Oreochromis niloticus: one gene and its partner. The protein of the gene in region 2 purifies or fractionates together with the protein of the main gene of each other region. This does not show direct contact. Links are inferred from orthologs where the notes say so. Each region holds a gene or a part of one and is shown on either strand. Other genes may lie near its edges. The genes, in order: tmem9 and clcn5b.

Region 1 (15,525 bases), on a different chromosome or scaffold from region 2:
CTGGTTCTCTGTCTTTTCCCTTTTCTTTTGCAGTTTCTCTCTCACTCTATAAACCTCCACCTCTCGCTTACCCCGTTTCCCTTGTCTTTTCACCATCCCTGTTTTCTGTTTTCCTCACGTCTGGTAAACAGCCTCTCTACTCCTCCATTAAAAGAAGGCCTGCGATGAAGTCTATAAAGACCAGAAAGGGAATGAGATATGACAGAGGCTGTTAAATAGGGTGGGCTAACTCAGTTTCACCTAAGGGAGTTAAAGAAAACCACTAAAAACAATCACTTTATGCTTAATATTAAGGAATCCCATTAAGGAAATTTTGGATGTAGAGCCCTTTACTGCACTGACTGCAAATTAAGTCTCACTCAATCAAAATTCTGCACATGAGAATCTATTTTTCAGGTTTCACTAGTGCACATGTGAAAAGAAATTGTATAAATTCTTTAGTGCTTGATAAACAGAATTTTTTTTTAAAAGAAGACACATCACACGGTCTGATGCTACAAGACTGACAACAACAAAAATCTCATAAATCCATATTTTATTCACAGTAGACTGTAGAAAGCATTTCAAGTTCATTTTACTATTTCATGAAAAATATTAGCTCATTTTGAATTTGACGGCAGTAACGTATCTCAAAAAAGTTGGGACAGGGTCATGTTTGCCACTGTGTAGCATCGCCTCTTCCTTTAACAACAGCCCATAAACATCTGGGAACTGATGAGAGCAGCTGCTGGATTTTGACAGGGTAACGTTGCCCCATTTCTGCCTGATTAGGATTCTAGCTGCTCGACAGTTCTTGGTCTTCTTTGTCGTATCATTCTTAAAATGGTACGTTTTCTCAGTTGAAACATTTGATATGTTTTCTATGCGTTTGTGAGATTTGTGAATCCTTGCATTCTGTTTTTATTTATATTTTTCAGAGCTTCTCCACATTTTCAGATCTGCGTTTGTAACTTAATTGCACACATTTTAGGTTGAGACTCCAGGTGTCCGTTTGGCTTTTAATAGCTAGATCGAGCTCCAAACCTAGATCACGCAGATCGAACATTGGATTTGTACATTATGAAGAAACACATTACATTACTTTCCTATTTTTGAAATATTTAATTGATTTCTGTCATTTCCTACACTGATCCTACGCCATCCTACATGGGTTTTATTTTTGTATGTAGTAAGGCACTGAAAAGTTACACTAAAACACCGTTCATGTATTTACGTCACTTTAGATTATAGCTGCAGACCTTGCTGTCAAAGGCTTCACGATATCATAAAATGTTTCTTCTACAACAGTGAGTTGTGTGGGTCACTGAGAGAAGCATTTATGTAAATACATGTTGTTGTTAATGTCATAATAAACCTCAAACTCCAATATGCATCCACTGTACTGGTGTGAAAGCAGAAATCTAAAAAATCAGTCTATACTAATAAAATTTGGGGCAAATTAAAGAGAACTATGTGCAGACACTTAACATAAATAGCTTTAAATGTGAATTACTCAGCTCACGTCTCATTTTTCCTTACTGTCACCTTCCTCTATCTTACCTTATTCCTTTACTCCCCTTGCTCTGCTCCTGCCGCCGTCTCTGAACCAGTCATCCAGAGCTTGCTCCATGTGTGTTGAAGATTAGTGGTAGAGTGTGGGGCTCTATTGATTTCTGAAGCTGTGAGATGACAAGTTTGATCTTATATCACAGGGTTTACGTCTGATTTGTTCCGGGCAGAAAGCACCAAACAAATATAGTTAAGTGTTACTCAACCATACCGCCTGTAGAGATTAGAAAATTATTTTGCTGTTACTATTCATGTTGCATTAGTTATCATTTCATCGACACATTTTTTGAAGCTGTTGAGGTTAAAGTCTGTATTTCAAGTCTGTATTTCAGGTGGTAGCTTAATCACATGATAATCTTTCATTGCAGGTGCAACTGTATTCATGTTATACACATTGCATTTTTGTGCTAATTAAAGAGTTGAAGCTCGGTCAATTAATTGATGGTCGGAAGCTTCAGCGGCGCGAGGTCCGACTGATCTATTGAGTAAAGTGACCTTGAGTTATGAAAGAATTGCATACATGCTTACAATACATCACGCACAACTTAGAAACTGAATAGAGGCCTGTGTGTTCAGCAACCGACTGCATTGGAGTTCTGCCTGGTAACAGATGACTCAGAGTAAGGTCATGCACCGAGGTTAAGACACATGGGCTGTCTGAACACACATACACAGTGTCTAGACTTGTTTTGCTTGAAATTGCGAAGTTTCAAGCAAAGAAACTGCATACGTGACAGTTCAGTTCCCCAAATAAGTGTAATAGGTAAAATAACAGGAAACATGTAGTGGAGGAACAGAGGAAGGAACTGTTCTTTTTTTAGAAGATGTTCAAGGTTGGAATGACTGGAACATGTATGTTTTTTATCTGCTGTGACGCATATTACTTGTCATCATATGTTATATATATCACACCCCATTTATTGTTGTGAGAAGACCGATGCTTTTTGGGTGATCGTGCTCGGCTTCCCACATGTATGTGTTGTAATAAAATCATTGTTTTGACACACTGGGACTTTGCAGTCGTCTGTCTCTTCCTCAAATACGAACCATGACACGCCTGTAAAGACATTTTTACTTTATATCGTTTATGTCTGGAGAATAGTTTTGTTTGTGTATGTGAACGTGTCAGTGGCAGTCCGTCGTGGCGCACCACTGAGCTGCCAGGTCAGATTGCAACAAATGCCGAAACAAAGGAAGATGACTCACAGTGACATTTGGCGAAGGAGGCCCCTGTGGATGAAATCCATCGTGCCTCCAGATGTGGCCTGCAGCTGGGGCAGGTAGATCACAGACTGACATGAGGAGATGGAGTAAGGGTGTGGCAATGTCTGTATCACCTCATTAGGGAAAACTTATCACACAGAAACCTCTGTCCCTACCTTTTGGAAGGAGTGGAGTCTCCTTCCAAAGGATTAGAGCTGACAAAATTTTCTGATCATGGAATCGCTTTGTCGGGGAAAAAAAGGCTCTTGGTGACTTTTGGCTGTTTACCTTCCTCCTTCTGTTTTGAGAGCGCTGACTCTGAAAGAAGATCCACATCGATATCTATATCGGTGCTTTTTGCTGACTGACATGTGTGTGTTGTGTTTTGCTCGCTGACTTGATCGGCCAGGTGCCTAACATTTTTTATCTGTAAGGATTCTATGCATCGCTGGCTCTATAAATCAGTCTGGGGGGCCTTGTCACTTAAAGTAGACATTAATAGCTGACAGTTTATTGACCGGCCTGCCTGTATTTGTTAAACCAGCAGGCTGTTTTTTCCAACCTAAATTGCATCCTTATATACCAACAACAAACTTCCTTCCTCCCCTGCAGCTATTTATCTACCTTTCAATCCATGTCACCTTTCATTTCTTGCTATTGTTTTCAGCTGTCTTCTTGCCTGACCCCTGGTCTCCCTTGAAAGATGCGTGTGGATTTCTGGCAGCTTGCTGTTTTATTTATCTTTTTTGACCAATTCTGCAATTGGCCTATGAAGCTCTCTTTGAAGTTTCCCTGCGTCTCTCTAACATCTTGTGCAACATCAAAGACAACACATTACACGGGGGCAGAGTTCACCCGAGAGCCACTGCAATTCAAGCATCATCGCCATGTTTCTCTTTTCTCCTCCTGCAGGGGTGCAACACTGCTAAAGGAGAGGAATAGCGAGTGGTGGGCGGGTGAGTGCGGGGACGGCTTCCCTTCCTCCGTTTGTGTCCATCATGTGTCATGGCCGCTCTTGGCTTTCATGTTCTGTCTGGCTGAGTTTCCTGCTCCAGCAGTCTCTGTTTCCTTGCTGAAAATCGGTGTCCCTCAGAGGCAGGAGACACTCCCTCCTCTGCATCCATTTCAGCTCAGCTCAGCGTAGCCGGGCTCGGCTCTCACCTTGCTGACACCAGCTCCTCAGCAGACACCTTTCCCCCTGCATGGGCTCAGCTGGCTGACAGGCAGCTGTCCGTACAGATAAAGCAGAGCAGGACACACACTGTACTCTGAGTCACCATCACTGCTTACTGCTCTAACACCTTTGCTATTGCCACCTCTTTTGGTTACAACATTTCTCGAGCAAGCATCTCACACTACCTCCATCACTGAAACTGATAACAGGTGATCTTTATCTTCTATCTCTGTTTGAAGATCACACAGAGCTTTTTTTATTTTAAAAAAACATCTTGTAATTTATTAATTCTTTGATATTTTTTCCTGTAACTTCAACAGGATCAAACTAAACACAAAAAATGACAAGTTTATTCCACATGTGGTTAATATTTAGACCTAATGCAGGGGGCTTTGAGTGAAACACCTAAGAAGTAGTCGTTGTTTGATTACCATGGGAAAGAAAAATTCAATTCCAGGGGCCCAAAACAAGCCAGTGGCTGATGAAGACAAATGTGCAAACACATGTTGGCAGAATTGCTTTTTGGTTGACTGTGATCGGCTACGCTCAGGAGGGCGGAACCAGGAGTTGTGATTTATAGTTTTGCGCTGTCCCTGGATCACCACTGTCTGCTACCTCCCACTACTGTAATTACCACGTGTGTCCATTAGAATAGTCCTACTGCCCACAATGCACCACCTCAGCGGAGAGGAGAGGAGAGATATCGCTTCAGAGATAGTCTTGTTATTCAAACAGTGTTCTCTCCAAAAGCATGATACAGAGGAGGGCAAAAAGACACTGCAGATGATGTGATAAAGGTCAAAAAGAAACATACTGAAAGGTTGAGGGGTGTATTGAAAATGCTAGATTAAGGACAAAAACCTGTAGCATCCTATAGGTGAGTCATATAAGGTAGGTATTTATCTACAGTGCTGCTGTAGCTGTTTAGCTAATAATTAATTGGTTTTATGTGGCTCTATCTTTGAATTTCACAATATATTTTCTCTTGTTTTATTTTATATGCCCTAGATCATATCTACATCTCTCCAGATCTTTACAAAGTCTGCTTTGACTAGCGTCTGCTGGTCGAGATTGAGTTTGCTTTGCCTTGGGCCTTATAGCATCTCCTAGTGGGCAAAGTGCCTGATGCTTTCAGGTCCCTGGAAAATGAATGTTTTGAGTAATGTGATTCAGTCGATACTTTCAGGTACCTTGACAAGTAAGAGAACTTGACACCCTCTGATGTTGTTTATGAGTTGAATTTCTCCGCAGTGTTTCCATTATGGATCATTTCCCTTTGCTGTTTTATAGTCAGGCTGCGTTCGCAGTTCACTGGCTAAAGACTTTGTCAAAATATTTGTATCTGTCCGCATCAATTACAGCGCTTTTTTTTTTTAGTTGAGTGGTAATAAACCACTTTACATAAACAACTAGATTCATTTTTCTTTCCTAAATGAATATTTTTTTACCAAGTCTACCCAAAGAAGAACTCAATCCCCTTTCTTTTCTTAAGAAGTCTGAACTGATAATGAGACCTGGCACTAGGCTCTGGTCAGTGTCATTTATGCTGTAATTGGCCTGGGGATTAAAGGGCAGCCATGCATCAGAGAAGATGAGAACTAAGTGGCTTACAATGACAGAAGTGAGAGAATGAAATATATTATAGAGAGCTCGCACAAATCACCATCTAAAGCGTTTATGAGTCGAATTATGACGGAGATCATTACACGAATGAAGGAGTACATGCATGAGTTCATGAAGTAATCAATTGAGGAATCAATTAAAAACCAAAACACACTTAAAACATTCAGAACTAACTTGCCAAGTATATCAACAGCAAAAGGTCATTGACAACGTAAAAGACATCACCAGCATAATATTGTCTGGGTGAAAGGTTTTCTCCACATAATCTGACCAGTTCTTGTCTTTTCATAAAACTAAACCTGCTAACTGTGAATAAAAATAAAACAGCAAAAAAAAAAATTTTTTTTAAAGATAAATGCCCGTGAAGTATCACCTGTTAACTCCCACCCAAAAAAAACAGCATCATGGTTGACATATTTCAGTAAAAGAGTAGAAATCTTTTTTAATGTATTGTTTTCTAAAGGAAGAAATGGTGCCCGGTCATAGATTTTAAAATAAGTAATTTGTACAGCATGAAAAATGAGTAAAAATATGGATTTCCGGGATTTCTTCCGTGATCTGTGTATGTGTTTCACATGATTAAGTCTCCCATCACTCACATTTTTTAGGCGTACAAATAGCTCAACAACAACAACCTTGTAGGCAGACATAAACTGACTGAGTTCACATCCTTTGTGAAGCTGAAATCCCAGCACTCCAAATCTCCATACTATATATAGAATAAACAAGTTCTTGGCAGCATTGCAGCTGATTTAAGTGGTTGAATCACAGGTCACATGAACGACAGTGTTTACACACAGACGGTGCTCTGTTGTTCACGCTGATATCGTAGCTTATTAGAGAAACAACCACGGTCTCGATTGATCTATATGACCGAAAGCTCAAGAGGTTCAGGCAGAATTTGTGAGTCATTGATTTCTGTGGCTTATTAAAGGTATGAGTAGCTTACTATACAGAGAGATGTGAAAGCAGGATTACCAGGAAATAGGGGTATTGATTGGGTCAAGAAGCTAAGACTCATATTTCAAATTCCAAAAGGGAAACTGGATTTGACACAAGAGCAGTGTTGACCAAAACAATATAAAATATCCTTGATTATTCTGGTCATTAAAAAAACATTAATGTTACAAATAAAGGCTGCTTCATGTATATTATACATATGATTGCTATTTGGAATTATGCATTATTGATATATCTAATTTTTAGACACATTAATATTTAAGCATCATTTTAATGTTGTAGGTGGTCAAAATGTAAACATTTCATAGTTGAATTGCTTATTCTATAATCTGCAGTTCTGTAAATCTGAGCTCTGTATATGTACAGCTTCAGCTATGACACACTTTAATCACATCACTAATGTCTGATAAGACAACAGTAAAGATGGATAAGAGGCTTTGGAGTCCACAGTGCTTGTTTGCTTATAATGCTGATAAAAAAATTTAAAAAAAAATGCTGTTTAAACTGTTGAAAGCAAACCTTTGGTCCAGGCGTTGTAGTTTCACAATTCCACTCACTACTGTAAATGTCAAATATGGAAAGCAATTAGCACTGAGGACTAAAATGTGCAATAATTCACAGAAAAGTAATGGCTTGATTAAATTAATGAAAGACTGCAAGTACACTGACCGGATCCCAACAAACTGAATGTGGGGAAAATGTTGTCTATGGGATGTAAGAACAATGCTGGGATCAAAACCTCAAAAATACAGTCAATTGTGCAAGTTACTGGATTGTTATTTCATCTCTCTTGCTAGGTAAATATGATATAGAGGGAGGACTAAGTTTGTTGTTATGGTCTAATGCAATAGTCTTTATATACTCCCATATTCTCTTTCATTTCACTTTTACTTAAGCTGCTTTTCTATCTGGTAAAGTTTTGGGGGTTTCGGTGTGCATAGTTTGGCATGCATTTTTAGCCATATCTGACAATTTTAGCTATTTTCATTCATGGCACACATATACTGTGTCACTTAACACAATACTTTCCTCCACTCGGAGGGGAGCTGGAGCCTTTCCCATCTGTCATAGGGCAAGTGGCAGAGTACACCTTGTACACCTTAGTTGCCAGTGTGCAGCACATAGAGACAGAAAACCATTAATACCTGCAGGCAGGTTAGAATTACCAGTGAACCTAACTCCATGCATGTCTTCGGACTGTGGGTGGAAGCTTAAGTACCCGGACAGATCAGCACGCAAAGGCCACTCAAAAAGGCTCCAGACTGGATTCAAACCCAGGACCTTCTTGCTGTGTGGGGGCAGAGCTAACCAAACTAAAACAAAACAAAACAAACAAACAAAAAAGAACAAACAAAAAAAACCCACACAAAACCCCTCTGTTTCTCCAAAATATGCTGCATCTCCTTTTTCTTTCTGGTAGCTTCCACCATATTTAATAAAATCTGCAAAGCTTGTGACTTCTTTGGTAACTTTCTTTGATGTGTATGACATCAGACAGGCTGACCTTTTTCCTTTTTCTGACTATAATAAAAAAGTCTTCCCGTCATATGCAACTGGTAAAAGCCAGACTTTAGAAAAGCGCATGTCCTGCAGAACCAGTCAAAATGTGAGACACTGTCTAAAGATATGTGTGTTTGTATGTGGGCGGGGGTGGATAAAAATGTTGTGCAGTCCCACATAAAGAGGGACAGTAAGTGATTATAATGTAACCTGCTTGATAAATATGAATTCTTGATTATTATTTTTACTTCTTATTTTGTCCAGCAGGTGGCGCTGTCTCTGCATGTTTGGTGTCGGATTGTTTTCTTCATGTGTGACGACAGTCCGGAATAAGGAAGGACAAAATTCATTTGTCGATCTTTGCTCTAAACAAAGTGAGAGCACACTTTCAACCTGAATGCAAAGCAGAAACAGACGTTTTCCTCACTCTCACAGCGTAAGTTACCGCGTTGCTAGCTTTGTTTTTACGACATTTCGTGTCGTGGATTTCCTGCCTTGCAGTGCTAGCTAACTGCTATATTTTGACAGAGCCTTGCTGGTGATCCTTCAGTCGTCGTGCCAGGTGTTTTGCCTTTGGGGAAATGTCGTGTGGTTGGGGAAGATCCTGGATGTTTGCTGCAGCCGCAGTGGTGACCGTGTTTCTGCTGGATGTTGTCGTTTTTGCTCGAGCTAAGGTAAAAGACCTGCTGGTACACAGAGGATCTGTGTTTGTGGATTAAATCTCATCAAGTATTGCTTTGTTTATGGGAAGATGTTCAGTAAACTGTGCTCAGTTTTATTCAGTGAAATATAAAGATTGTATAGTTAAATAACGAAATGTAAAATAATAGTTCAAGGGCGATATTGCCAGCACAATTATGCAATTACATCTACTTAAAGAATACCTGTTTATGTTAGTCTTACATTAGTTTATCTAAATAATGATTATGTAAATACCCCTGAACTACTGTCAGGACACTCGTGGATTTCTTAGCCAAATTGGGGATTGTAGTCTTAAAGAACTAGAAGTAGGAATACACTGCGAGGTTGCAGACTAAGACAAACTCCAGTTCTGCAGAAGAGACTCCTTCAAAGCAGACTGAAGTATGCCAAGGTCAACCTGGAGAATGAGTGTGCATAGAAAGTGAGTCCTTTAGTCAGATGAGACAAAAGGGAAAAGGTGTACAACTCACTGGGAATCTCATTAAGGTAGAAGGTATCATAAAAGATGGATATGTGAAGTGTTTGAAAGAAAACGTCAAGCAGTCAGCAGCAAAACTGGGTCTGGGTTTTGCTTTATTTTCCAACACGATAATGACCCAAAACATACATCACTCCTGTGAAGAACTGCCTCCAAAAGACCATCGAATTTGGAGGCGTTTGAGAAATTGTCGTGGGATCACTCAGGAGGTGTGAGTGAGACTGGTTGGAAATTGCAAATGTATAGTATCGTAGGCTAATAGTTTTGGCTCTGGTAGTTTTTGGCTAATGTGAAATAATTTTGTTTCTGTGCCCAAATTAAAATTATGTAAGCATCCAAAAAGAAAAGCTGTGTTTTAAAACTTCTTGCACTGTTAAATACTCCAAAAGATAAAACTTCCATAGAGGATCTCATAATTTAGTGCTCATCTGTGTGTTTGTGCCATTTGACTTAGAATAACTGGAGTATATGTCAGAGTGTTTGTTTGTTTAACTGCTTGTGTTAATAATAGAGAGACGTCTCAAGTAGTGCTGTAGGGGAAAGATGGGCTGAATTTGGGGCCACTTTCACAAAAGTTCCTTAATTCTTGCAGAGCTTTGAGGATGTCCGCTGCAAATGCATCTGCCCGCCCTACAGAAACATTACCGGTCACATCTATAACAGAAATTTCTCCCAGAAAGATTGGTAAGAAAAATATTTTATTTAGACTTTTATGGATTTTTAAAGAAAAGGCGTTACTCTTTCACTGCGCTGCTGTTTTTAGGGGTTTTCTTTCTCTTAGCTCAGTAGAAATGACAAACGTTTTAATGTTTTTCACAGCAACTGCCTGCATGTAGTGGAGCCCATGCCTGTTCCTGGCCATGATGTGGAAGCCTACTGTCTGCTTTGTGAGTGCAAGTATGAAGAACGAAGCAGCAACACAATTAAGGTACAACTGACTTTCCTTCGGATATGACGACATATCTTCCTCAGCTTTTATTCCCAAGCAAAGCGGGTCATTGTGATTGTTTGTCATATAAGATGAGTCGTTGAAAATATTGCAAAGCCTTTCTAGTTTATTGTTTTGTTTTGGGGTTTTTTAAAAGAAAAGAATTTATAGTTTGCAAAGGTTGTATGTTGGATTCAGTGAGTTACTCTTGCTAAATATGACAGGTGACCATCATCATTTACCTGTCGGTTGTGGGCGCCCTGCTGCTCTACATGCTCTTCCTGCTACTGGTTGATCCTCTTATCCGCAAGCATGACCCATACACCCAGCCGCTGCACAATGAGGAAGACTCTGAGGTAACCATTCAAAAAAACAGCATCCAAGCACACTCCAATGTATTTATTTGATTTCTGTGGAGTTTGAAGTTCTTGATTTCAAACCATCTCTGGTTTGTGTTCAGGAGATGCGTCCGCAGCCAGAGAGCAGCAGCCAGGCCAGAGGAAACACGGTGCTGGAGCGGGTTGAGGGAGCACAGCAGCGCTGGAAAAAGCAGGTCCAGGAGCAGCGCAAAACAGTCTTTGACCGCCACAAGTTGTTAAGTTAAACCTTAAGGCTGACCTCAACACCAAGTTTAGAGTACGTAACCTTCCTGGGCCGTCTGATATTACACCAGTGGCACTATCACAAAACCTCTTTGTCATTGCTGTGCACCGCATCTGCCGAATTAATATTTAAACATCACACATCTAACACGACAATGTTTAAACTTGGTTTATTTACTAGATGTAAAAACTTGAGATGGGCAAAGCTGCAGTTTAAAGAAAACTGATGCTTGAAGCACTCCTGATGACCTAATGTCAAATCTTTTCAGCAAATTGGACATCAGTGCAGCTTTGAATGTCTTAATAAAATAATAACTTTTCCCATTTTGCACTGGCTGTCAAAAGCATTTCAGCTTATTGTGTGTTAATATTTATAATTTTTTTCCTTCAAGCATAATTTATGATGTGATCTCAGATAGAATAAGCTAAGTTAATTAGGACTACTCTGTCTATACAGTCTCAATGCTGTTGCTATTGTTTTGGCACTAATTATTTATTGGTATTTAAATCTGGATGAATTTAATGTATGATTGTTGATTTTGGACTTTGTATATTCACATTTGAGCAGCGCCCCACTCTGTGCCTTTCCTGTCTCTCTCTTTGTGTGGGAGATCGTGTTTCTCCAAACTCTACAGCTTTCTAAAAATAACAGACGGGAAGGTCAACTAAGAAATTTCACCCATTGTTAACTAGTGCTTGCATTTGTACTCATTTTATTTTTAAATTTTCTGACTGAACCCAGCAGCACATCTGTGTGTTTTTGTTTTTTTCTGCAGCACAATGTGACGAAACACTCTTTTCATGCAAAGAGAGAAAAAGAAAAGGAGGCATTTAGCAGAGCTTTAAAAGGACTCTCAGAAAAATCACAGGAGAATGCCCTAAACCACTAAAGCTGATGATAATGTGGTTTAGTGTGGCAGAATCCAGATGCTTCGTGGCTTTGAAAGGGCCTTGTGTGCATCATTATCTGTCAGTGAATTCCTGCTCGCATCCTATTACTGAAGCTCCCAGTTGGGAAATTATTAGTACAGCAAAAACAGGCACACTGGCTTGCATTACTGTACCTCATACACCGTATGAACTACTGAAGTTTATTGGTTTCTAATTGATTTGTTTTTTTGTTTTGTTTTTTGATTAGTTGATTTGTAATTATAGTTTAATATCCCTGCTGTCAATGTTTTATATGCATCTCTGGCCTAAGTGTGCTATAGAACCATATGTTTAGCTTGACGTGAAATAATAAAAGGAAATTCCTCAAAAAAAAAGGTTTTGGAATTTTTTTTTCTCCTTCAATTACTTTTCTCCTTTCAGATTTGCTGTTCCTGTTAATGGCGCTAGAGGGCGACAAAGTACACAGTAAGTGCGCGTTCTTCTTGCACTGGTCTGTGGTGCTTGAAGATTGAAGTCTTACATGTTGAGTGGTGTTCAGCTGCTGGGAAAACAGTCACCTGTGGCATGTTTAAGATCATGTTGCCAGTTTGAGAAGGTGTTTTAAAATGTGTAACTACAAACGTCCTGGTTTGGGAATTACACGTTTTAAAACAGCGCCGCTTCTACCGACTGTTTTAAGGGCTGGTGATAGTCGGTTGGTTGACTTTCATTTAAATTGTTTGGTTATGAACAACATTAACACTAAATCATTTGGTCACAGTGAATGTTACAGAGTATTGAGTCCATCATTCAGTGTTGAATATTATTCTGATGAAGTTTTGCAGTTTTCTTTTTAGCTATATCACAAACAGCAAACCCTGATTTAGCATTTACACGCACCACACAATCAATGAACGGTCTGTAAGGCACCATAATGGGCTGTATGGAAACGTGAAGATTTTATTGTTTAATCTGAGGCGCTTACAGCGGTTAGGGTGTACTTACGGATACCTATTGTTCATTATTCCTTTAAATACCAGCCTTCAGTTATTATTTAGAAATGCATAGAGCTGCATTATAGTGTTTTTTTTTTTTTAATGATTACATGTCTCTGTACTTCTTATGAATCCTAAATAAGAGGTTGACAGTAAAGTAAACCACACATATACAGACACATACACAAACAAAATCACACAAAGAGACACAGTCCCCCCCCCTCACTCTACCCTTATAATCATCCCCAAGCATGGCCTGCTGGTGGTTCATAATCTAAATTTAAACTATACCAAGGCCAACTGCTCCTCCAGTCACTCTGGGCTCCTGCTATTTTTCCTGGACGTGGTGGGCTTATTTTGTCAGAGGCCCTCAGCCAGGCAGAGAGGCCTGTGGCTCTGCCCGGGTGAGACCGACAAAGGAGCGAGGAGGAGGAGAAGGAGAAGAAAGAGGGTGCCAGGGGAGCCTGAGGAGGATCTGCTTTCACAAAGGGGAGACACACTGGACCTGAGTTTGGGATTTTACAATAAACATTAACTTTCACAGGAATTTGGAGCTTGTCTAAGGTGAAGGCATCAAGATGGCGTCGAACACAGAAGCGGCCAAGCCGATCATCATGAATGAAGAGGAGCTGAAGAGGAAGCAGAGGGAGAAGCTTAAGAAACTACAGGCCACTGGAGGAAACCCTCGACCCGCGAGATCTCTCTTCCTGTTCAACCTCAAAAATCCCTTCCGCAAAGCCTGCATCAACATAGTGGAGTGGAAGTATCCTTTAGATCTTTCAGTCACACACACCTCAGACAACTGTGTGTATTTTAGAAGAAATTTCAGTTTAAATATTTCTTTGAAATTCAAGGATATCAAGGCATTATACATGGCATTATACAGTCAGCGCAGCATGGAGCCCCGGTTTAAAAATACTGACAGCAGGGCAGTGAATTAATAGCCTTGTTCACCTGTGGTCAGCATGCTCAAGCCAGGTCTCTTCCAAATGTGTGATGAGATGATCCCTGAAGTGTTAAGACTTTTGTAATGTTTCTGATCTGTATCAAAGTCAAGTTTGCAGCCTGTGGAGTTTCACCTGCTGTTAACCTGAGATCACCTGACAAAAGCATCAGGCAAAAAAACAATTAACAAGGTAGTCTTATTCAACTCGCTCCTTATTTTTTTTAAATGTCCAAATAGTGACTTCAGCGTCCAAGTAGGAGAAGATGAAAGAGCACAACGCGGGCTTTTGATAGCTCTTGTGGCCCCTGTAGGCAATTTTCTGCTTTTAGCCTCATGGTCATTCCTGGATCCAGACTGGAATGAGTTGATCATACCAATCCAGTGATAGGAACCTCTTGTTCACAGCGTTTAAATGCAGATACACAGACTTTGAGTTTAAGAGTGACCACATGTTAAAACGTGATGATGTGTAAAGATCTGTTCTATTTGACATTTCGTTCTGGTATGTTGGACCACGTCATAAGTCATTCCACCGCCACAGTTTAATCACATTGGTATGTGGTTTGGTAACACAGGGCTTAGGTGCTGTATAGAGAGCCAAATTATGGAAAATTACTAAAAAGTCTGAAGACCCAAAAAAAAAACTGTCCTCGTACACGGATCTCAAAATTTAAAGAGCCACTTTTTTCTTTATTTCTTTCCTGGTTAACAGTCTGTGTTCAAATGGTTTGGTCATATTCTTGGGCTCTGCAGCTGTCCCATGGCATCACACTGAGACATCATGCTGACCTGGCAGGGGAATTCTCACAGAGAGCCCCCTATGGGTGAGAATGAAGCAGCACAGCAGGCAAGATTACATTAAAGTGGAACACTTTGCTGGCTACCCAGGGGGGCTGCTTCAGGGATGATGTTTCAGGCAGCATTTAAAGGCACTAGTCAGTGCCTACAGAGCTGCTGCAGAGCTGGATTTGTTACACTGAAACACAAACGTAAAATAACTTAGTCAGATAAATAAACTGACCGTTTTATTCTTGTGAAAGATTAAGTCATCCTCCCACTCTCACCCATTAACATCGTAACATACTAAACATAAGACAATAGACCTTTGTGGATATTTTGGGGGGGCAAACTCTGATTTTTGTTGCTGTTTGTTGTTGTCGTTGTCACGATCCTGAGCATCCCCTTCCAGAACCTTTGAGATCATCATCTTATTGACCATTTTTGCAAACTGTGTAGCTTTGGCTGTGTTCCTGCCCATGCCTGAAGACGACACCAACAACACCAACTTAAATTTGGTAAATAAACATTGAGCCTTTTTTTTTTGTTGCATGTCACATGACTGTATGAGAGGCCACTGTGGTGAATGATGACTATATCGATATTTCATTTTCATAATATTCATGATACATAAAAGAATTGAAACACTAAATTAATCTCGTGTTTTGGGGCTCATGAAGGCTCAGTTTTACCATCACTAGTAGATGACTGTGCAGCTCTGATCAGCAAGTGAGTGTAGTAATATTAATTTACTACAGCTTTGAATCAGTGACAAGCTGTGGGATGCCAAACGCCATTTGAATGTGTCCAGAAACAACTCGGTTCTTTATTTGGAGCCCCATCTGTGTCTGCAGAGGAACGAGTCATCGAGTGTCTCGTTCTCAAGTAGTGTAAAAAAGCTGGTGGCAGGTGGACGATGCTGATGTATGTCCAGAAAGATATTATGTTTCAGCTTCATAGGTGTGTGTTTTAAAGCTGTGAAACTGTTGGTAGTGTATTACAGGTCACAGACTATAAAGATAAACAAGATGCACATGTGAGCAAAACATATATCTGATCATGCACCGTGCATATATTTGGCCAGTGCTTATTGGATGTGTCCTATTGACACCAATGTTATGATAAATAGATCACTTTCTCTTAGAGGTTTGGCATTTAGCACAAATGTCAGCCATCGGTTACTTTCCTACATTAAGTCAATAATACTCCACATATATCT
Region 2 (15,444 bases):
GACCTAGTGTGAAGAAAATGTTCCAGTGACTCTAGGCCTTGTTCATGATTAATGTTTGTACACAAAGATTCATTATCTAAGGTGCACATAATTATTTGAGAAGAAGCAGAAAATGAGGCGTAGTTCAAGGTTGGACCTAGCTCAAGTTCTTAATGACAGTCTACAAAACTTGATATTTTCTTGGTTACATTTCAAATTCCAGACACAACAGGTCTGTCAGTTGGATGTTCAAGAGACATTTTTTTGTAATATCAGCAACAACAAAAAAAAGCTCTTAAAGGATGTTCACTGAGTAAAAATGTTTTCTCCTTCAGAGAAATCTCACCATAGAAGAAATACTTTTTTTATTACAGACTTCTCTAAAATGTATTAATTTAGATCTCCACTGAATGTTTTTTCTCTTATACATTTAAATTATTTTCCTATGTGTGCCTGCACAGTCTAAGCTAATCATGTAATTTGACAAATTCACTTCTTACTGTACTCGGTAGCAGATAACAGACATGGAGCGAAGCCAGAGAGCTGGGAGAAGCAGCAACATGTTCACTACCACTGAGGATTAAAGGATTTCAAGGGAAAAGTGTTGTTTCTTTTAATGAACAGTGTACACTGCCACAAGGACTAAGAAGAAACATATACAGCAGGGGTGGGGAACACCAGGCCTCAAGGGCTGGCGTCCGCCAGGTTTTAGATCTCACCCTGAGTCAACACAACTGAATCAATTGATTAGTTCATTACCAGGCCTCTGGAGAACTTCAAGACATGTTAAGGAGGTAATTTAGCCATTTGAATCAGCTGGATCAAGGACACATCAAAAACCCGCTGATATATAGGACCTAAAGGACAACCTTCACTGCACAGAAGTGAATGACAGAAGGATCAGAACACTTTGATGTCAGTATTTGGACTAGCAGTGCCTCCCTAACCCAAACTTTCCTCTTCAAACACCGCAGGCTAATGAGTCCCTGGGAAACAGGTTACACAAGGACGTAAACGATAATGCCTGCAGCACTAAGGGCTTTCAGGGAAACCTGCTTGGCAACAGGTTCAAGTGCTCGCTAAAGACCAGTTACAAATGCCACAAACACTTCCTACTGCCTAGTTTCACCACTGAAAGGAACGAAAAGAAAGAAGTTTGAGCTGAATTGTAAGTTCCCATTTATCAGGGTCTGACAGTGGGACATTTTAAGTTTAGAGTTGGATCACTCACTCTTAAGGGTAACCACTGGGTTACCCTTAAGAGTGAGTGATGGTTTTATAGTTCTGCTTTAACTCCGGCAATAAACTGGTGATGTCACTGTGACATCAGTAGTAACCAGGAAGATTGATAACGCACACTGCTGACACTGCCTTCGCTTTTATTTGCCCTGGCAACAGGCACAGTTTGCCAATTTGTCTGGGATTTTATTTTAGGGTATGTCAAGTTGACAACAGAAAGATCTGAGCTATATCCGACTCTGCTGTGCAGAAGCGAGCTGGAAAAATGTTTGCTGCTTAATCTGCAGGGAGAGTCAGTGATGAGGAAAAGGAAGTGGTAAGGGTAAACACTTGAAGCTGCTTCAGCTTCTCGGACTCTCAGGATGGCAGCATGAAAACTACTGAAAGAGTGTCTGTGGTTAAGATACATTGCTCTTCTCTTTAGATGAGGAAAAGTAACATGTCAGTAAGTCTCAGGAAGAACACAAATGAGGAAGATTCAAACTTCTCCATATGACAAATTTACTGTAATACACTAGCAGGAGTTTCACAGGATTGTTAATTAATAACAGCAACTCTGTTATACCCTTGTAAGTGGCTCCAGGCTAAAAAAGAAAACTAACAAAAAGCAATGAAAAAAAACAAAAACAAAACAAAACAAAAAAAACCCACAAACAGAGTTGTCTAATAAATGACTCCATTCACTCAATTCCTCTGTTGGATCTCAGCTCTAATTGGCCAAATAGAAGCATGCTGGGAGTGGGCTGACAAGGTCTGATGATGACAAAGCAAGGGTAAAAAGAGAAATGTCCACTGCATGCTGAAAGCATGACATCATTAGTAACCAGGCAGCCTTGTTTCTGATTAAAGGAACTTTATGAACTTTGCAGCAAATGCAAACACCATCTTTAGTCCATTTAATTTGCGCATTTCCACTGAGGTCGTACACTCTCTTTTAAAGTTTACTTCCATGCACTGATGTTTGTCTGCTTTTGCGTAGTTGTTTCATTTTATATCCCATACAATCATACTAGCATTCTGTTGCTGCTATTTTGCTATTTATTATGTTACTGCCATTTTTTTCTCCTGTGCAATTTCCACAGCACTTCCACCCATATTTACTATATTTTACTACCATGCCCTTGTACACACCCCCACAATGCTTCCTGTAACCCAAACATTTTACTTTCATGTATATAGTGTACATAGTGTTCTTATATTGCTATTCTTGCTACATAATTTCATTGTGCAGGCCACTGTACAATGACAATAAAAAGTTCTAAGTCTAATATTTTGTATGTCACTTTTTTTTCTAAGTAGCACAAAGACTAATGGGACTATTATTGTTCAACTTCATATGACCATTATTTCAGTTAGACTTTGATTCATGTGAATATTTGATGTGTTTTTCAATTATTGTATAACTGAGAATGGCCAAAGGTTTAGCTATCAACCTGGTTGGGGCGCCAATATCGTAGGTCAGCGTTCATGTTCAGGTCTTTTTATTCAAACATAAATTAAAATAAAGATTACTGAAATAAATAAATAGTGCGGTCAGAGTGTCCTGTCTCCAAATTAAATCCTCCTCTCCTCACCTGCAACCTGTCATGGCTGATGGCCGCCCCTCCCTCAGCCTGGTTCTGCTGGAGGTTTCTTCCTGTTAAAAGGGAGTTTTTCCTCCCCACTGTTGCAAAGTGCTTGCTCATAGGGGGGGTTATAAGTGGTTAGGGCTTTTTCTGTATTATTGTGTGGTCTTTACCTTACTTGCTGTTTTAATTCCATGCTATATAAATAAAATGCAATTGAAGTGAACTGAGTGAAGTACAGCTCTTTTAATCTGACCTGCTTCACCCTCCAACTCACCCTCTGAAATTGGCAGCAATTCTTACAAATAAAAAAAATTTTAAAAAAACAAAATAAAAAAAAAAAATCTTAAAAAAAAAACAAAACAAAAAAACCCAGACATGATTTCTGCATATTTTCTTAAAGTAAAACCAACTTATCAAATCTTCCACTATATTCTCAAACACTGTAAAGCTCTTATCTCAGTTAATTGGCTGTTTTTACAGCCAGAGGGTAAGCCATATATATATATAAACAGTAAATCTGTACATTACCAGGTAAGCGTGAACTCACTGTTCATTCAGGTGACTCACAAAGCATGTGACACACACACACACACACACACACACACACACACACACACACACACACAGCCATTACTGATACCTTATCACTGTTTGAGAGCACAAACACACACTAATCACAGAGCATGCAAACACTCCCAGACAGCAGCTCAGCCACACTAGCATCTGCAGTGCAGCTTTTTTGGAGGGTAAAAAATAAAATCAGTTGCTGCTCACCCCTACCTCAAACCTGTCAAGTTGCAAAAGGGAGTGTCATGTAATCCTACTACATTCAAACAGCCAGGCTGCTACTGAGTGACAGCCCAATTACTCACGTACTAGAGAGAGAGCGCTGGATAGACACAGGAAATGTAATGATATCATTGTGCAACCAAAAAGCAAATTACTGTTTATAATATATAAGCAAATGACTGTTTCAGGATTTTTTCTGCTTTGAAATGGGCTTGAAATTACAAGTAATTACACACCTATGCACAAACTGTCCACATACAGTGAAACCAAAGAGTCAGTCTTACATTATCTGACAGAAGTCTATATTTTGCTGTTAGTTCGGACCATGACGGTTATGATTAATACAACTCGTTGAAATAGTGTGATTACAAAACTTGTGACCTTCTTCTAATTCTGACTAAGACTTCTTTTTCAGCAAATATTCCTATTCCGGTTATTAGCTGTATAAGAAAAGACAGGCAAAGGACCGCATATTAATCCATTCAATGTAAACTATGTGTGATATGTGATAAACACTTGCTAGCTTCAGCTCAATTACTTTTATCTGCAGCAGGGGACAAAAACACAACAGTTTTTAACCTTGTCCATCAGACTTACATTTTGGTTGTTTTCTGACTTTTAAACTAGCCGTGTAGTCTAATATTAATTAGTAAAACAAGTCACGGGAGCATGTGTAGCACAAACAAAAAGAAAATTAAAAATTGACTTATTTTAAAGCTAGATGAAATCTCTCTGAGCTATCAGTACTTCAGAATTTCCTCTGAAGGCCAAATCTGCAACTTCTTACGCAAGCTGGTGAACTTCAGCCATGCTCTGGGCTTGCTCCAAAGACCAGCCAACCATGATGTGACGGCTGATGCACAGGGGATCAGCCACACATGGAAAGTTCAATCCCGACCTGACCATCATTCTTTGTATCAACCACAAGGTGCAGCCTGCAATCACTGTGCTGTTACTGACTCTCAAAGCCCAAAAGCCTGCTCTCAATCCCAGAGTCACCTTAGCTGTAAAACAGCACAACCCATTTATACTGCTGTGTTTAACTGAATGCCCTATACTTCATAATTATTGTATACACGTTACATTGACAGTAGAGGTGGAAATCACCGAGCTACCCCACAATACACAATACTTCACTCACGATGCAATATTACTGCAGCGTTTAACATCTTGCGACACGCTGAGTATCACAGTAATACTTCATGTGACTTTTTTGCCTTGTTGTTACTTCAGTTATGTCTTTGCTGCACAATGACATTGTTGACTAACCCTGTCATTAAAGTAAGACGGAGTCAGTCTGCTATCAGTCTGTGATTAAATGGGTTCAAGTTGGCAATTGCATGCATTCTGTTTCTGATAATGCAACAATCAACTGTGATAAATCCTCCAAAATTGCATATCTGTTGCAGTCTACACAGACAGAAATGCACTCAGCAACCTTTCCTGTTCTTTAGGAATATAACCAGAACAAAACGAGGTGAGTGGAGCCCCCTCGAGTTACACTCATTGACAGAGACTCTGTTGCATTTGGACTTTACACAGCAATTCTTTGCAAACCTCCAACAATCTCTCTGCAAGTGACTGCAGTCAGTCCAAGTCAGACTGCAACTGCTCGCAGAAAATGTTGCCTCCTATCAGGCAAAATGAGCCCTCTTGTCCTATAATATTCACAGAGTACTTGAATGTATTTAATAAAATATCGATATAACATCACCATGCACAATATCGCAATACAATACTATATCGATCTCTGTATCGATCTATTTGTCAGAAGAAAGAAGCTGTTCAGGAAACAGGCTGAAAGTGATTCCTGAATTTAAACAAACTCTTATTTATTTATTTTGAGGGGGACTTTTAATACCATAATTGGCTGACTTATGCGTTGTGCTGCCTCACAACTCCCTGATAAGAGTTTAGTTTTATCTGCATAAGATGGTTGGTGACATTTAAAAAGCTCAGCACTGAAACCAGGCGTTTTAAAGACGATCAGCAGCAGGCCCACCTGAGCTGAGCGGAGGGACGTCGTCCGTGCTCGAGAAGTCCAGTGTGGCTCCTGCGATGTCCACCATCTCGTCATCATCGTCATCGCTCGGATGATGAAGGCCGTCAAAGCTCCCGGAGCAGTACCCGGGGTTTTCCATCCCTTCGGAGCCTTTTAAAAGGGAAAAGGGAGGGGAAAGAAGTTAGCGAGGAAGGGTTAACTTCTACGAGCCCCACAGTGGATATATCTGCTTCACGGCTTTAGTTACCTCTCTCTCTGTCGGCTGCATGTTTCCCACGTAAACTCGTCCAAAAGTTAGACATAGTAGCGCAAAGGTAAGACGCGAAAAAGCCCCCCTGCTAACTGTTTTACTGTTAAGAAACGGGCACCGACAACAGCTGCTCTTCTCACCCGCTTCATACCAAGCAGCGGCTGCAGAGTCAATGACAGCACATCTGTGGTTACGGTGAAGTTTTCGCAACCATTTCCGCTTTTTTTTCCTCTTTTTTTGCGCTGCTCTTTCTGCTACATGCCTGCGGCTTCGGGGCTAAAAGCCACCAGAGCAGCGGAAAACAGCGCGCTCCCAGGAACAACGGATTAGCCTCTTTCCTCGCGACGAGGACTGAGCTGTCAAACAACCCGACACGGTGTAACCGTACAGCTAACTTTCACCAGTGCTGCCGCTATTAACTGAAATGTGCTTTGCCCCTTGCTTCATCAATAATGAAAGAAAAAGACGAGTAAAGCCCTACTTTACCTGGGAGGGGAGAAAGCAGCCGTGCGGCTCACAGAAGAAGAAGTCTTGTGACTTGGATTATTTGCCCCGCCGTCCTCTTCTTCTGCGGGAGCTGCTTATGTATCCTGTGTAAACTTAACTGAGAAAACCCTGCGTCATCCACCGACACCCCAACACCGAGGTTTTGTGACCCAATGTGTACACCTAAGGTCTCAGCAAAGTGTTACCCTTCTTGGACACCCATACTGGTGAAATGTAGCGACAACAACTATTTCCATTTGTCATTTTGCTACTTAAAGCGCAAACGGTAAGCTATCGTCAAGTAAGCGAAAATTGGCTACGTCTACCTTTAAGTCTTTTAATAAAAAAAAAAAAAAAACCTGTCGTATAAATCAATTGACGCTTTTAAAATGCGACACATTTTTAAGATAATCCTAAAATATTAAATGCATACATTTTACGTTTTTTATTGTTTTTATATGGCGTTAAAGCTTTTATTTTTACGCGACGTCAAAGCCCATGGTTTTTATTTTGAAACCCAAAGGAGGCAGTTTCCGGTGTAAGGGCTCAGCCGCTTTAACACCAGCGCCGTCGGCGCGAGGAAAAGCAGTCGAGTGAAGAACTGTCGTTTGTCCAATTGGGTTAGTGGACCAGTTCGACAACTCAGTCATCAAAATAATGATAACAATAATAACTGTAATATTCAAAACGTGAGTTTTATATTAAAAATCACCCGACAGTCAGCAAAATTATTCCCTGCACTGAGCATCACATGTTGAAACATAAACAGTTTGCGGTGTAATATATAAGGATATTTATATAATAAATCTATGTTTATTACTTTGACTACTTTCCAATGTATTATATTATTTAATAATGTACTTTAACTTGTTCATTACTGTTCTTACTGCTTTTAAGCAACTGTGATCACATAATTTCCTCTGGGATTTAAAAAAATATTCTTATTCTGGTAAATTGTCTTGGGGAAAAACTTCTAATAGACACAATTCCAGAGGTCTTTTTTGTGTGTTTCTCTTTTTTATGTGAGATAATAGCGAAAAGAAATGTACAAATGCACATGGAGAAATGTGAATGTTCTTTTTAAAAAGTGCAAGGAAGAAAAGAGTGTCAAGTGTTCAAGGAGCCACATTGTTTTATCAACTCATTAGATCACTGAGTCAATACACAATCTACTGTAGTGAGGAGGTGTAACAGTAACTGATACACAAAAGCTACCATTTCATCCAAATGAGCTTTTTATCTGAATGGGCCTAAGTCAAAGGCAGTTGGGAAGAAATAGCTTCTTTTTAACTGGAAGAAATCATTGGGAGACACGGCTGAGGAAGAGGCAGCTAACTGCCGTAACTGGTTGGAGGGTGAGCGCAAAGAGAAGAGAAAAAAAGGTGGTTTCCACACTTTTGTGCCCAAAGCACACTCCTCATAAAATATATCAACAACGTCAGCTCTGCCACTTCCACCTCGACTTCCTATTTTTTGTTAGTGCCACCATCTCCTCTGCAGGTCTCATTACGTTTATAAAACCAATTTTTTTCCTCTTACTGCAGAAAAAAAAGAAGAGAAATGAAATGAAAATATGAAGTTACTTTTGTGTTTGACACTTATTTAAAATATGGCTTCAGCAAGCATATAATTTATTATCAACCTATGAGACACGTTCACGCAGTATTGCATGCGCTATTGCTGTCTCTGCAGACTCTGCAGTCTATTTACACCTACATGCCAGTGGACACTTTTTTAATAATGAGGATGTACACATCCTGGACAGGGAGAAACACTGGTTTGAGCAGGGACCCAAGGAGGCCATTTACGTGAAAAGGGAAAGACCATCTCTGAATCGAGGAGGGGGCCTAAGGGTACATCTTTCACCATCTTACATCTTTCACATAGAATTTGCATATTAATGATCAGAAAACTAACCTCACAGCTCATTGTTCCTTCAGTGGGCTGGTTTCAGTCATTATGCAAATGTACTGTTTGTAAGGTTGGGGAAACCTGCAGTCAGCTGAGACTGAAGAAGTCACTTGGATCAGTAATGAAATGTTTCTCATACTGAAAATGCTACGTCCAGATGAACAGAATCAACTTTGGGATTTGTACAGTAAAGTTCCTCTTTAACTCACCTGGTACTAAATAAACAACAGTTAATAGTTAAATAAATAAATAAATAAAACTCAGACTCAAAACCTCTGGCATCCCGGTCCAGCTGAAGCCATAAGACATACAGCTTTTGCTCTTGTTTCCCCCGACAGGTATATTTCTTTTCTCTCCACACAGGAAAGTGATGAGTTTGACCTCCTCATAAATGCCATCATCCTCTCTTTCAGTCAGAACCTTTGATGTGTGCTGATAAAGTGCATTAATTCATTCCCGCCCCCCAGTTTTATTATATTTGACCCCAGAATATTAAAGTCAACATTCCTATGTAAATTTTTAAAATAGACAGAGAGCCCCACCTTGTGGTCTGCTGAAGAAACTACTGGAGCCTTTGTAATAGTCTTTTTCACCACATTACACTAGACCACATCTAAAGTTACTGCAGGACCACCAGGTGGGAAGGCACATACACTATACTGCAAGACTTGTATTAGTGATGTCGACACTACTGACCCGTTCCGATCTGATACCAAGTAATTTCAAGCTGTTATTGACGATACTGAGTCCATTCCGGTACTTTGTACAAAGCCTTAAAGTGTTGGGAAAATCAAAATCAGAAGTAGTGTATTTCAAATTAGACCTTCATAATGATAAGACATCAGACTACTGTTCAGACTGTTCTTATTATTCAATTAGGATGAATTACCCTACATGAAATTAAAAAAAAACAAAACAACCTCAGACAATAAATAATAATCCAGCCGAGAACCATTTTAAAAATAGATAATAACATCTGCCCTTATGTATGAAATACTTTTGAGTCATAGTTTTATTTTTATTTTTTTACAATATTTTATTAGTTTTTTTCATTTTCACAAATAATGCATAATTGCATAACATAATAAAGTGTACAGTTCACAGCAATAAAAAAACAAAAAAAATAAACAAAGCAAAAAATAAACAACCCCAAAACAAAGCAAAAACAAACAAACAGACTGAGAACTAAGCACAAAACAAAACACCAGCTCAGATCCATCTAATAAATAAATGAATAAATAAAAAATACAATACAGTACAATACCTGTGGTCCCAGTAGTATGACGCAGTTTGAACACTCAAGAGAATCCTTGTAGCATAATATTAGAGATGTCAGGTTCCACATAATTCAAGTATGGTTCGCATACCTTGAGGAATTGGTCTGTTTTAAAGTGCAGTACACATGTAAGATATTCCAATGGCACTAGATCCAACACTACTCTTTGCCAGCCTTTAATAGTTGGCGCTGTTTCATTAATCCATTGGAGTAAAATATTCTTCCTCGCCTCTTAGTTGAGAATACAACCTGCTATTATTCTTGGATATTAACCGCCGGCTGGGGAGGCCCAGTATGAGAGACACAGGGTTCATCTCCAGTTCACAACCCAAAATCTTCTCCATTTCAGATAACACATTAGACCAATACTGTTGCAATTTCAAACATGACCAGAAGCTGTGAGTTAGGGTACCAATTTCTGTTTTGCATTTGAGGCACATGGGTGAAAGGGTAGGATTATATTGATGTCTGCGAAATATGGATATATGCAGTCTGTGTATGATTTTTAACTGTAGTGCTTTGGTATGATTACAGACTGAGATTGATTTGGCATAACTCCAGACATCTTTCCACTCTTCATCATCAGTTATTATACCTAACTCCTTTTCCCATGTGCCCTTAAAGCCTCTGTGACATCACTGAAGGTACGTAATATAAAGCCTTATAAAATATCTTCACAGGTACCTCTTTATCTGTTAAAAATAATAATTTCTCAACAGGAGAGACTTCATGGCTCTCACTGAAGTTAGTACTGTGCAAGATATAACGGAAAAAGTCATGTTTGGGGAGAGAATATTTCTCAACCATTATATATTTTACATATGTTTATTTTTTAAACCCTACAGTTGCTGTTTTACTGCATGTATGCTGTATATTTTAATAATACCTAACCTTTACCATCAACTTTAAATGCTCTAGTCTACAACCTCACCTGACGAAATCTAGGCCAACAGAACTGATGAGAGGTGACCTCAGGGGACATACATATTACTCCAAGCTAAACTCATGGTGAGATGTAATGCATTTATACAGCTATATTTCACATATTATTATGAAATGTGGAAGAAAAGTAGTTCCTGCCTATTGTGTAGCTGACCTCAATAATCCAATTTTCTCCATTTGGCTACCACTGAACTTTCCAAAGAGCAGAGATGAATGTTGTAGTTCATGTAGATTCAAGCTGCTCTTCATATTTTTGGCCACCAGATGCCACCAAAGATAAGTTGATAAATTTTAAATAATGAAACCTTTTTCAGTATGAGATTCAATGGCCAAAAACAGCTTTCTGGCCACCACTAATAAATCCATAAGACATTTACTGGGATCACTAGGAACACACACTAGTGCTAAGAATACTGAGGCAAGGATGATAAGGAGAAGTGGAAAAAACACTGACACGGGACAAGGATAGACGATGACTATATACAGACAGAAAAGCAATGAGGGGAAGTGGAGACTGCTGGGAACAACGATGCACAGCTGAGCCGAAGCAAAAGTAAAGGCAAAACACAGGGAACGACTAGCTTACAAAATAAAGCAGGAAGTGCAAAAACTAAATGGGGAAAACACAGACACAAGAATAAAATAAATACAGGAGAATTTAATTTAATTCAATCCAATTCTATTCTATTCTATTCTATTCTATTCTATTCTATTCTATTCTTACTACAATAATACAGAGAAACCTCAACTCAAGCAAAGCACAATGAATGAATAACTCCCAAAATGAACCAGGAAGTACAAAAAGTAAATGGGTAAAACCCACAGACACATGAATACACTTAATACAACAAGACTTGACATAAGAGGAAGGACGACTGAGGGAGGAATTACACTCTAAAGCAAACAAATATACAAAATTAAACAGAAACCAGAACAAAATATTCAAATAAAGAAAAAAAATGAACAATCCAACTGGGTAAAACTGGGTAATTTTGACCCAATACCCTGACGTATAAACACACACACACACACACACACACACACACACACACACACACACACACAGAGTAGTACAAATGACCTCGTCATCACATTCAAAAGGGCAAACAGACTGGTCACTTGTTATAACAAAATCTAATAAATGAGATGTTATATACATCATGTGTAAGGCTACAGAGAAAAAAAAAAGCTTTTCTGACCTTCCAGCACTGCTTACTCTGCAAAACCAGCCTTTCCAGATATCAGTGAGACATGTGATTGACAGTAAACTTCATCGGTTGCATTCACTGATGTTTTTCTTTGATAACAAACAAAATTCCACAGCAAGATTATGATCTATAGACGATAGATGACCCTCTTGGGTCCCATGCCCTCTGGTCTTGGATGTCAGTCAGGTTAGGGATTTTCATGTCTACCTGTTGTCTTACCTCCACTAACTATGCTTACCTCCCTCCAGTCTACACTGTTAAGCTATTTAGTCAGTAGAGTTACTCAGGCTTCCGTGTTCCTTTCCAGCTATTTACCTTGCCTGTTAATCAGAGATAGAGCCCCCTTGCTGTGCTGACGCTCCAAGTTTGAGAACCAGCCTGCTGCTTTAAAACTTACTATGAGTAGAAATTCTGTTAGCAGAGTCAGCTGGTCAGTACAACAGTGGGAAAAAAACTGCAGGAAAAGGAAAAGGTAGCAGACCAAACTATGAGTAAAGACCTTGGGTTGCAAAAGAATCAAACCTGAGAGTTGTGAGGAAAAGAAGCCTGTCTAGGAGCTTACTGCAATCTGAACTAGTGAACCAAAGGCTTTATAGAGATTTAGTGTGGACTTTGTGACTAAGTACAGTTTGCAGTATCAATACCTTTATTTGTTGCGCCTACAGTTTACATTAAAAACCGGTCAACTGTTCATGTGTGCCTGCTTTTGAGTCCTTGCTGTAACCAAACATCTGCCAATTGCAAGAAAAATCAGCATTAATTTAACAGGATAGCACAATTATTTGTAACCTAACAAGTGTCATATTTCTCCTAAAGTCCCATAATCAAGTTGACAAAAGCCTACTAGCAAAGTAATAGCATTAGTCTATTTTACAAGCTGTATAGAGTATAGAGTTTAAAAATTTAATATTGTGACAACCCGAGATGCTAAAATAAAGAGTATTTAACAAAACCATCCCTACAGTATGTCAACAAATTTCTTACATGCTTACAAATGGTTTATAATTACAAATTATTTTATGCTTCCTATGTTGCTCTTAGCAATTAATGGGAAGATGAAATAATTTGTGAGGTCCGTATTACTGTTAAAGTTTTTTTTTTTTAAAGGTTTAACCAGAAAAGTGTCTGTGTGGGTTCTCAGTCATCCATGTCATTGTAATCTAAGGAGCCGTGAAGGAAAGTGACTGCACTTCTTTAAGTTTCTTGATGATGTTTCACCTCTTAGTTAGTTAGTATGTGATCAATTCCTAAAGAAAGAAGAAATTACTGCCTATTTTCACATATTTAATTACTCATAAATTGAAGTTATCATCTGCACTGATCAGATATAATAAACATAACATACCGTCATACCGTGTACATTGTATGCATATACACGGTGTATATATACCTATAATAGATCCCTATTCTGTAATATATCTATATTATTGCTAAAGCACTTTCTGGATGGATGCAAACTGCATTTCGTTGCCTTGTACTTGTGACATGTGCAATGACAATAAAGTTGAATTCTATTCTATTCTAAAGATCTTCACTGGTTGTGCTGAAGTCAGTAAGACTTTACAATAACCATATTTATTACAGTATTAATTGTTTATTAAATGGCAAATAGTTTGTTTTATTAACTGCCTAATATATTGTGGGTTTTATAAGTTTGGTTTACAGTGCGAAATTAAATCTGCACATGCTTCTAAAAGTGCATTAAATTAGAGGTCCTGCCCTCTATCAGAGGATACTTTGCATGTGACTCTGAAGCAGGAACAGAGATTAATAACAGATATGATTCAATGCAGAGGTCTATTAACACATAGTGAGTGTAGTGGCAATTCCTTTTGTTTGACAAACCAAACATCCCACAATTAAAACTCCACAAGCCACTGCTGCACTGAGATAATATTTCGTACACAGGCAAAAGCAGTCCACTGTCCAAGCTTGAAAGTTGCGTTTTTATGGTTTATTCATCCAGTTTGACAAGCAATAACAAGATCCATTTTTTTGTTACTTCCTGCTGCTTCTCCTGCTCTGGTAAAAACAAAACAAAACATAGGCCCACCCCAGTGCATGCTGGTCCTTTACCAGTCTCTTTATTTATAGAAACAAAATGACCCTACAGCTCTTACCGACTGATTTAACAAGGTAAACACCAAACAAACAAAACATTGAAACAAATATTAACCTACAAATAAACTTGTAAATAAACCCGAAAATATAAGTAAACTAACAACAAACTTTAACAAATTTCAAAATAATACAAATAAAGAACAAATAGCTCCAACACTCCGGCCCCTAATTGTACATACAATCAAAATTACTTTAAAGTCCCAAACGGAGGAGCTATTCCCTCAAGCAGGTCCTTAATCTTCGTTGATGATTTTCTTCACGATGAGGCTTCCAGTAGCAAAATAAGTTTTGTCACTGGCCTTTCCAAAACACTGGTCTTTGTTTGTAGTCTCACAGAATGCACCAAGCCTTTTGCATCCTGGTTTACACTTAAGACTTTCGCCATCATCCATGATCCTCTTGGAGCTGTAGCGTCTGCAATCAAAACAACATCTCCAGGTATAAGACATCTTTTAGTCCTCGTCCATTTTTGTCTTTCTTGCATCAGAGGTAGGTACTCAGAAAGCCATCTCTTCCAGAACAACTCTGTGTCACGGTCTGTGTGGCAGACCGTGGGGATGTGAGGAATGAGGACCCAAAATGCAGGACTTGATGCTGAAGGCAGTGCGTTTATTTACAGGGGTGAAAATCCAAACAACAATAAATCCCCCGCGCGATCCCGACTCCCGTTCCGTGTCTTCTCCCTTATCCCGTGCTCCGTGCTCTGTCTCCGTTCCCTGTGTACTGTCCGTGTGCTGCCTCCTGGATGCCGCAATGCCTCCTGGGGAAACACGCATACAAAAGGTAGCCGTGAGTACAAAACCTAACGGCAGACCTGCACTAACCTTGCACATAAACTTAAGACTGACGGGAAGTCACTCAACGATCCAGCGTCGAGGAGCTCTCAGCCACACTGTTTTGAAGCTCCTCTGACGAGGCTTGATCGGCGCCAGGTGTGTGTGGATTCCTGGGTGTGACCGGTCAGCTGGCAGGGCCACACCCACCAGGCCTAGAAGTGCCTGCCACGACGGCACCCTCACACACATGCACACACCCATAAACACCTGACAGTACACAAACACGGGGCACAGGACAGCAGACACAACCATAATAACAATAACGACAATAACCATAATAATAATAATAATAATAATAATAATAATAATAATAATAATAATAATAATAATAATAATAATAACTACAGTAGTAGTCCACCCTGCTCACGAACCCCGAATCCCTGGAGCTGGGTCCGTGACACTCTGCCATGTACTGTACCTGTTTCCACCTTTTCCTGACATGAAGATCAGTTGGATCAAACAGTCCTGGTGGTAAAACTGGTTTGTTTTTCAGCAACAACAAGTGATTGGGTGTCAGTGCTTCAAGATCATTTGAGTCATCTGAAACTCTAGTAATGGGTCTGTCGTTCACTATAGCTTCAGTCTCACAGAAGACTGTTTGGAGTCCTTCATCATCCAAAACTTGTTCTTTGAGAACTGAGGCTAAAATACTCTTTATTGAACGAATGAGGCGCTCCCACACACCGCCTTGGTGAGAGGCTGCTGGGATGTCAAAGTTCCATTTCATTCCATCCTGAACAAAAGCCTTTTAAATTTTAGCATGGTTCAGCTCAGTCAAACTTTCTTTCAACTCTCGATTCGCCCCAACAAAATTTGTAGCATTATCAGACCTGATGG

Evidence for each region.
Region 1: the proteins of clcn5b (region 2) and tmem9 purify together in Homo sapiens (co-immunoprecipitation; 3 studies listed by BioGRID and IntAct, with this or other methods). This does not show direct contact. The link is inferred for Oreochromis niloticus from reciprocal best matches to the Homo sapiens genes CLCN5 and TMEM9.

What each region holds. Positions count from the first base shown.
Region 1 is NC_031984.2:20,019,508-20,035,032, forward strand, and holds tmem9 (proton-transporting V-type ATPase complex assembly regulator TMEM9), read left to right. Parts: upstream 1-8,283; 5' UTR 8,284-8,444; intron 8,445-8,536; 5' UTR 8,537-8,589; coding exon 8,590-8,682; intron 8,683-9,780; coding exon 9,781-9,872; intron 9,873-10,007; coding exon 10,008-10,116; intron 10,117-10,340; coding exon 10,341-10,472; intron 10,473-10,576; coding exon 10,577-10,720; 3' UTR 10,721-11,983; downstream 11,984-15,525. Other genes in the region: cacna1sb (calcium channel, voltage-dependent, L type, alpha 1S subunit, b), read left to right, coding at 13,162-13,346, 14,719-14,824. UniProt on the Homo sapiens protein: Transmembrane protein that binds to and facilitates the assembly of lysosomal proton-transporting V-type ATPase (v-ATPase), resulting in enhanced lysosomal acidification and trafficking.
Region 2 is NC_031967.2:31,602,712-31,618,155, forward strand, and holds the start of clcn5b (H(+)/Cl(-) exchange transporter 5), read right to left. Parts: upstream 6,269-15,444; 5' UTR 5,880-6,268; coding exon 5,825-5,879; intron 5,728-5,824; coding exon 5,578-5,727; intron 1-5,577. UniProt on the Homo sapiens protein: Proton-coupled chloride transporter. Functions as antiport system and exchanges chloride ions against protons. Important for normal acidification of the endosome lumen. May play an important role in renal tubular function.